Linked DNA regions of Arabidopsis thaliana. The protein of the gene in region 2 interacts with the protein of the main gene of each other region in a pairwise test. Each region holds a gene or a part of one and is shown on either strand. Other genes may lie near its edges. The genes, in order: ABA2 and ABCI10.

Region 1 (4,548 bases), on a different chromosome or scaffold from region 2:
GTCAAAATTTCCCACGTGCACGTTCACCGCCGTCCGGTGCCGTCTATAGACATGACGTTGCTCGTTACGCTTAAGGTATCAAATGCTGACGTGTACTCTTTTGACTTCACGGATCTTGACGTCACGATTGACTATAGAGGGAAGACGTTAGGTCACGTGAGTTCTGATGGCGGGCACGTGACGGCTTTTGGTTCTTCTTACCTTGACGCGGAGGCTGAGCTTGACGGCGTCATGGTGTTTCCTGACGTCATTCATTTGATTCACGATTTAGCTAAAGGCTCCGTTGAATTTGACACCGTTACGGAGACTAACGGGAAACTTGGCGTTTTGTTCTTCCGTTTCCCTTTAAAGGTAAGGAACTTGAGTTTTTACTCAATTATTTGGTTTATCAAACTTTATACTTTCTCATCATTTGAATTTGACTTTCTAGATTATATAATCATAGAAAATGTATGCAGTTTCTAATCAGATTAATGGAATTTTGTTTTATAATTATCTTGATGAACAGGCAAAAGTGGCATGTGGGATTCTAGTAGATACTGTTAATCAGACAATTTCTCGTCAAAGTTGTAGTCCTCTCTAATTCAAGAAACATCAATACATCATTATGATATTTTTGCTACTCAATCTTTTTAATCATTATGAGAATCTGATTTTGTTCAATGTCTACCAGTAAGAAATGTAGTTAACATCAAACATTTCTACAATGCTAAAAGTAACAATTAAAACCACAATAAGCTCCACAGTTAAATTATTTGATAGACATGATAAATTGGCGGACAATAAACATTAAACAACATTCTTTAGCAAAATGCATCATCTGAAGACTTTAAAGGAGTGGTTAGTGCAAGTGAATCCTCCATCAATCATCAAATTATCTCCGCTTATGTACCGCGAGTCATCGCTAGCCAAAAACAGAACAGCGTTCGCTACATCATCAACCGTCAGTTCCACCCCTTTTAGATTCGCGTTTGCAGCAGCAAAATTCCTGAAACCAACAAATGCATCCTCCGTTCTTTCTTCCTCCGGCAAATGAGCCAAAGCGAGTTTAGTTGCAACCGCGTAAGGCGAAACACAGTTCACACGTATCCCGTGCTGTCCAAGCTCCGCTGCAACACTCCTAGTCAAGCCTAGAACAGCATGCTTGGAACCAACATAAGAATGTGGACCAACGCCTCCCACAACACCTCCCACACTACATAAGGAAACTATCGACCCTTTCTTCTCCGGTATCATTACACGAGCTGCATGTTTCATGCTTAGAAAAGCTCCTTTCACATTCACATCAAAGGTCATCTCGAACTCACTCAAACTATAATTACGAATATCAGGGCACGGTGCTCCACATAATCCTGCATTGTTGATAAGTATATCAAGCGTCCCAAAATTTTTGACTGCAAAGTCAACCGCATTGCTAATGTCATCTTCCACTCTAACATCGCCATGGATGAAAAAAGCCGTCTCCTTGGACTCACCACGAAGCAGACTTTTACACACCTCACCTCCGAGATCATCTTGCAGATCAACAATGCAGACTTTGGCACCGTGCTTGTGGAACAGACGAACAATGCTCTCACCTATCCCTGTGGCTCCTCCAGTGATCAATGCCACTTTACCCAAAAGCCTGTCACATCAAGAACACAAGAGATTAAAAGCAAGTAATTAAATTGGATTAAACCAATCGCACCATAGTCTCCTAATAATAAGGTTGAGATGTTACATCAAACTTAAGACCAGTGAAAGAAAATGCAACAGAAAAAAAAAGAACTTTATTCATAAATTGATCTGGGCCACAAAATAAAAAAAAAAAGATCTGGGCCACAAAACTACAATGGTGAAAAGAAAGGACCACAAATCCAGTTTTGAAACAGAACGTGCAAAGGAGGTAAAGATGAATCAAATGGGACACAAAATAACAAATCTGAAGTTGAGAGATTTGTAAACAAAAGCCAAATGTATATCACTAGTTTATTGAATCAGAACTGATAAAACTAATCCAAATGTTTGAAGATCATAATAAAAAGCAAAGAGACTGAAACCTAGAGATCATAAACATTTCAAGATTTGACATCAATAAATCAAACAGAACCATGACTAGATCTCAAATCTGTCGTGAGCAGAGCAAAGACACTCATGAAACTGAAAAAACTCCATGGTCTGATTATCAACTGTTAATTTGACCCTCAAAGAACAAAATTTCAGTATTTAGAATGACCCAAGAAGGAAAAAAAGGTAAAGTAAACGAAGATCAAACAAAAAGAGTTGGATCAGAGGAAAAAGTTGGAGAAAGCTTATACCTTTGACTAGGAAGAGAAGAATAAGAAGAAGATTCAGTGTTCGTTGACATAATAGCTTTAGCTCCTTAGATCTTCTTTCTTATTCCTCGATGTAGTGCCTCACTATTGACACAGACAAGCTCAGGAATCATGCAAACACCTCTCAATCGGAGTTTGCGTTGTTTCTCGGCTATTTGGTGTCGGTCTCTATACGGCTATCAAAAAGCAAGTCCTGCTTCGTCATTGGGTTTTTATGGGCCTTAAATTGTAAGCCCAATAAAAGACTAACGGATTTGACTATAAGCACATTTTGCGGATTTTAGAGACGTTAAGTTAGACCGATCCAATTTGCACCAAACCAAACCGATCCGATTTAGAAAATTAAGGATACAATTATGATTCGTAATCGAACCGAAATCCAAACCGTATCAAACCGTCCATGATACAGAATTACAGTATAGTGTTGGGTTATTTGTGGTTTCACTTTCTGTAGATCATCCGTGAGATCGATTACATTCATTCATGGGTCATGATTGATCTTCGCACATGTGTTTCTACGAATTTTCACAAATGTAATTTATGTTTTCCGATATTTCTCTAGTGAAAGTTGTATCTCGAAAATTGAAACTCCAAAACCATATGAAAATGCGTAAATAATTGTGAAGAAGTATAGTCTCATACGGTTGATTAATTAGTCACGACACGTAACATCATTTTTTTATGAACCGTTTTTAAGCGAAAAAGCTAATAAGTTATACAGAAATCACAGTAACCACGTATTCCTTTAAAAAGATTATTGCTGCCGATATTTAGTACTTTGAGATGAAACAACATCGTTATATAAAGATTCTGACGAATAAGCATTTTAAGAAAAACAAGAACCACAACACAATTTCTACTTTGATTGAAATACTTAACGAATCAAAATAACCATGAATAATAAAAATATAATTATTGTTTACATGATGAATTGATGATATGTGTTATTTGTGGAGGGATGAAGAAGAAGAAGAAGAAGAAGAAGAAGGAAGCCATTGATATTCATGTTGATGATACCTACACTTGAACGATCTTGGATGCTTCGACGGTGAACACACACACTTCTTCTTTCCACCGCCACCGTCACCACCGCTACGGTGACCAGCGGTGGCTTCCACATCTGTTGCCACCGTCACTTCTGCCACCGGAGTATTTTCGTGGAAGCTCTCCGGAGGAATAACAAGAGGTAGAAGAATTTTGTAACACATATTTTTTTGTTTCACACTCAACACAAAAATTTAAAAGATTCTTCTTATTTAAGATTTTGTGTGTGTGGTTTACCAAAAGAAAAGTCGAGTATAAATACTCGTCACTCTTGATAACAAAAATAAAAAAGAAAAAGATGTTAGTCACTCTTTTGGAAATTAAATTATTTTAGTTACATATTTATCTTTTAGGTGTTTCGTAGAAGAGATGTCGCCAAACAAAGTTTCGAAACGTCACACGTGGCTAATGGTTTTGATGCACGTCTAGAGATTTGTGTTCAGAAAGAAACCATGAGGTCAGAAATTTGTTCTAGTGTATATCCGATCTTATAAATTTTTAAGGAAATAATTTGATGACGAGAGAAATATTGTTATGGATTTTAATTAGCTAAAGAAAGAAAAGAATATTATTAAAGCAAGTTTTTTCTTGCGAAAGATGTGGATGGTGGACCATAACTCTTTGGATGAAACAAATTGGTTTGGAGATTTTATATGGTAAAGAGAAAATGAAGTGATTGGAGAGGATAAGCGGTGGGAGTGGGCCGATTACGACATCACTTCCTTTCTCTTTGGGCTTCCCATTGTCACTCATCTTCTTTAGATAAACTTACTACTTTTGAGGTCATATATCAATCAGAAATTCACAACAACTAAAACTATCTTATAGTTAGAAAAATATCGCGATTGAATCATTTGAAACGTTATTAGTTTAAATATGTTATTTATCAAACCAAGAATGTGCAAAAGACTGTTTTACGTAACATCTCCTACTAATGGTTGATCCTAAATCCAGAGAGATTATGAATTAAAAGTTCAAGATTTCTTCGTTACAAAATGATTTTTCATAAAACACCAAAATTTGTAAGATTTGAATAACTTTACGTTTGTATTGTATTTCATTTATATCAAGATTAAAAGGACTAGATATATTTATATTTTCTTAGTTTTGGATATGATTCTTTTGAAAGTTTTGGCCTACTTTTTCTTACTTTTGGATATGATTCTTCTGATCTTGATATTATTACTTC
Region 2 (4,748 bases):
TCATAAGAATTATATAGTATAACATGATCTCGGACCTAGAGAGAATATGAGACAAAGATGTGAATTTTTGTTATTATAAGAAAACAAATAGATTTCTGTTACAATATAGTTATCAAAATGTCTCTTTTTTTTGGTAAAAATTATCACAATGTATCTTCTTTATTTATGTAGGTCGACTCATCTAAGTAAGGCCTCAAGCCTTGTGATATTCACATAAAAGTGAAGTAACCTTTCTCAGCTTCGGTGACGAATCCACTCTGCCTTTTGTTCTAGAATCTGTTTTGTTTTCTCAAGATTTATTACATCTTGGTAATACAGGTTACTAGCGATGCCCGTGGTGAAATTCTAGCATGATTAAAGACAAGTTTGGTTTTGGTATATCACTTTGACGAAGTAAATGGTATTAGTCAAAATAGGGGGCACACAACACATAATTTAGACTTTTTTTATGTATATTATTCATATACATAGTCACACATGCACAAAACTTTCTCTCGTAACTTTTTCTTGTTTTCTATAATTTAATTATACTAATCAATACTTGGGGACGTACTTACAACCTGGAGTTTTCTCCAAACATTCTTTATTTTCCCTTTGGGAAAACAGAGGTTTACTCGTATTCAACTCTAGTTCGAGCCCTCCTAACTACATTACCCTCTGCAGAGCTATATTATCACAATTTTTCACAAATTATTAGCAAATAATCGACTTTTCATTACCTCTATATATATATAGAGGTAATAAAGAAAAAAATCCTTAGCAAAGGAAGTTAAGAACCAATTTGATCAATGTAAGACGATTGTTTGGCTTTAATGAAATCTGAGATGGTGGCTGCATCACCATGTCTGACCACTCTACCGTTCTCCATATACACAGCTCCATCCGCATACTTGAGCTCCTCTAACCTATGTGTCACCCATAATGCCGTCACATCTCCTTTCTTTGCATTTATCAGATCTTTTACAGCTTTGATCACACCCATCTGCAGAACAAAAACCCCGAGAAAACAATATGCACTGATTAAAAAAGGCGTATACGTCATAACATATCTGTCAAATTCATTTCATTTCTTCTAGATACTATATCAATTGTGCAAGTTACTCACTTCCAATGTCTACTATAACACAATCATATGTCGATGTTGAAATATTCCAGTTATGGAAGGGTTCCCTTGCAATACTAGTTGTGTTTCATTAGCACGTTGTTAGAATTAATCAAACCTTACCTGGTCAGACTCATCTAGGAAAGTTGTGAGCTCATCCAACAATAGCACTTTGCACGCTTCAGCTAAAGCACCAGCAATGGCAATTCTTTGTTTCTGACCACCACTGAGAGTTTGAATCGGTCTCTGGAAACAACACCAAAATCTATACTTTAGTAAAAGGAACTAGAAGATATAAACAACTTATTGTTGTTCAATGTACATAAACTGACCTGCATATAATCACGCATACCAACAGCCTCCAAAGCTTTAATCACCCTAGACTTAACTTCTTCCTGATTCATGTCATGATACTTGCCAAGACCAAATGCCACATCAGCTTCCACTGTAGGCATCACTACCTGCGATGAACAAGAACGTTCAGATGTGACCAGAATGAGCGGTTTTACTTGAATCAAAATCCAACTGTTACTAACTGATCTCCCTCAGATGTGACAACAAAATGACTCTTCTCGATGTCATTAGCATATCTAGCTTTTCGAGGATAATTAAAGATTTGGATTAAGGCTGTCTGTGATATGGAAAAAGACGCTCAACCACACAAGCCTACTCAACTATAAAACAGCAATACAAATCAGAAAGAACACTTCACAATAAAGAAAACAAAGATGGGAAAAAAGTAAGATCCTTCAAGATAAAATCAAACACATGATTCACATTGCAAAAGCAAGAAACTTAACCTGATGATCAGGATTCTGAAATACAAAATTCTTCGGCTTCTCCACAAAGACAGTGCCACTGGATGGATTCACTACACCAGCTAAAATCTGCAGAGTTCCAAGCAGTTAATGTAGATCAAACAGTTTAACTGGCATTTCTTTGTAATCAGTCTTAGTTACACATACAAACAGCATCCAAAGATTTGAATGCTCTTTGAGTTTCATGTTATAAATGCCAAGATTAGCTATTGCACTAAACAGTGTGATGATCTAAGATTCTGCCCAAAGTAGCAACTAGCAAACCTAGTCTACACCAGATTGAAGGATGACTTAAGTAAGAATAATGATACTTCATTAACAAAAGCTTAAGTCTTTGCTCTGCAAATGCAATGTTTAAGAGAAAAGAGAAAGACCTTCAAAAGGGTGGATTTGCCACAGCCATTAGGACCAAGAATCATCCACAATTGTCCAGAAGGAATCCGAAAGGAGCAATCACGGAGAATAGGAACAGATATACCTTGTCTTGTACTAACGGAGAAACAGAGATTCCGACACTCAACGGCGACATTATCGGAGAATTTGATTCTGTAACTACCGGATGGAGAAACACTCGATGATATAGAGCGAAGAGGGAAGAGACGAGGAGGAGATGCTGCAAATAAACAGTGACCATTCATTTCTCTTAAGGATTTTCAAGAATTCTCTTTAAAGACTTGAAATTGCAGCTTCCTTCTTCTTCTTCTTCCTCGCAAAACCATAAAAATAAGCTTCGTCGAATCGACACACAAAAAATACAAGCAACAGAGAAACCGTAGATACTTTCTCTCGTTGCTTCGCTTGTTCAATCCAAGCCAGTCCGGTTTTCAAATCGATATCATCCGGTTCGGTTTGATACGGTTTGAGGTTTATTTCGAATTTTATTTCGGTTTTCTAGTGCCGACGTTACGGTATAATTTGAAGCTGAGCGTTTAAATTTCGAAATCACATGTAATCATGAATTTGCTTTCGAAATTTAATAATTGGGATTTGACTCACAAAAAATTAACCATCAAAATTATTTATATAACAAAATAAATAAATAAAAAAGGAAAAATAGCAGTGAAATATTGAATTTTAGTAAGAATTTAAAAAAATTGGAAGCCTATTCTGCCGATCTTGTTGACTTGGCTCCATCTTATGTTTTTCCTCTCAAATTTATCGGAACAATTATTTGGTTGTGTGGTTCCAACTAAATAAGCGAATATATTTATCACGAGAGTCAGACAAAATTTGGTTAAATTTTTCCAAGTAATAGAGAATATATATCATCAGTTTTTGAAGCATGGGGATGTGGTGTACTACTTTGTTTATGGTTTCTTGTGTTTCCATCTGTTTAATTCTAAGCCATGTTCAAGGTATTATATTAAACTCTTTTTTATTGACTGTTTGCAATTTGCAATCACCAAAAGAATTGTTGCAAACAAAGAAGAAAAGCAGCTCTAGAACATGTCGACGCAATTAAAAACTATATGGTATTACTAATTTTCTTATATCTATAAACTAACAATTTGTTTTGGTTGATGACAAATTAGAGGTAGAAGCTGGAGCACCTCCCCAAGACTGTTGGAATCTCGTCACTTTCCCTGCTAAATGCGGCATTCACGGAAAGAAGAAATGCTTCAAAGAAATGGAATCAAAGTATCAACAACGTTTTCTTCAGTGCACATGTAAAAACTTAAAACCGGAACCCAAATCACCCAAGGACGAACATGACTGCACTTGTCAAAGAGCTAATCCTTATGAATGTAATTCCTAATCTTATAACTTTTTAGAAATTTCAGCCATCAATACTAACATATTATTTATTAATTAATAATAAGAAAACTATGGTGTTAAGATCCCAATTTTTCAATCACAACGAAAGGCAATAACAATTTTATTTAATTAACATGTTTCACTATCGAGTTTTTTTTTTTGGGTCGGATTGATTTAGGTTCAGGTTGAAAGAACATGTATTCAAGACTTAGATACCATGAAAGAAATTTTTTGACGTAGATTATGAATTTACTATTTAGTCACGCCTTCGGATATATGTTCTTAAGATTGATATGTTCTAAAACCGGTTAGATTGTGCTTCACAATGGTTTTTCCTTCTTTAATGTATGTAAAAACATCTAATATCCTTTTTAAGTATTCAGATATTTACAAAAAGACCAAGGAGTATAGGAAAACTGAAAATCAAAGAGCCAAAAAAAAGAGGTTACAAATTACTAAATTAGAAAGGAGCGGTATGAATGTCCCAAGCATGAGGACTCATAAACATCATTCTTTCGTCTTCATAATCATCATCATCCTCCTCATCCTTCAGATTTATGCATCTCCCTCCTCTTTCTTCACTAGCTCGTAACCCCTCATGCGTCTCCTGCTAATTTTGTTAATTAATTAACGTTACGAAGAAAAAAAGAAAATTTGAAGGAACTCCAAAAACTAAAATTACTGTAAATACGTACCTTTGTAAAAATATCCATAGCTTCCTCCATTGTTTTTGTTTTCATCACATACAATGCTTCTTCTCGAGCATTTTCTAATTGATCGAGATGCAATGTCATTGGCTCTGTCTCTATCGAAGACCTCCTCTCTAACATGTCCATTCTCTTGCTTACTTCCATATCTCTCAGATTTTATAGCTTGAAAAACAAAACAAAAAGTTTTGATGAATATCTCTCAAAGTCTTTTGATTGATTCTATATATAAGAAGAAAGAGTGGATTTTATTGAATGTAATGAATCTTCGAAAATATCTAACGTTTTTATAAGTACGATGTGGGGACGTAAGTGAGAGACAAGAAGATATATGACGCAACGTGGCGTGGTGGGGCGGATTACGGC

What was found.
Region 1: the proteins of ABCI10 (region 2) and ABA2 interact in binary tests that used the Arabidopsis thaliana proteins (3 or more experiments, as listed by UniProt).

What each region holds. Positions count from the first base shown.
Region 1 is NC_003070.9:19,489,181-19,493,728, forward strand, and holds ABA2 (NAD(P)-binding Rossmann-fold superfamily protein), read right to left. Parts: upstream 2,471-4,548; 5' UTR 2,348-2,470; coding exon 2,298-2,347; intron 1,625-2,297; coding exon 817-1,624; 3' UTR 614-816; downstream 1-613. Other genes in the region: AT1G52330 (Late embryogenesis abundant (LEA) hydroxyproline-rich glycoprotein family), read left to right, coding at 1-465; AT1G52342 (uncharacterized protein), read right to left, coding at 3,260-3,523. UniProt on the Arabidopsis thaliana protein: Involved in the biosynthesis of abscisic acid. Catalyzes the conversion of xanthoxin to abscisic aldehyde.
Region 2 is NC_003075.7:16,097,556-16,102,303, forward strand, and holds ABCI10 (ABC transporter family protein), read right to left. Parts: upstream 2,886-4,748; 5' UTR 2,559-2,885; coding exon 2,295-2,558; intron 1,990-2,294; coding exon 1,903-1,989; intron 1,564-1,902; coding exon 1,435-1,563; intron 1,349-1,434; coding exon 1,226-1,348; intron 983-1,225; coding exon 770-982; 3' UTR 515-769; downstream 1-514. Other genes in the region: SCRL22 (SCR-like 22), read left to right, coding at 3,203-3,275, 3,453-3,665, 4,059-4,267; AT4G33467 (uncharacterized protein), read right to left, coding at 4,136-4,285, 4,371-4,529.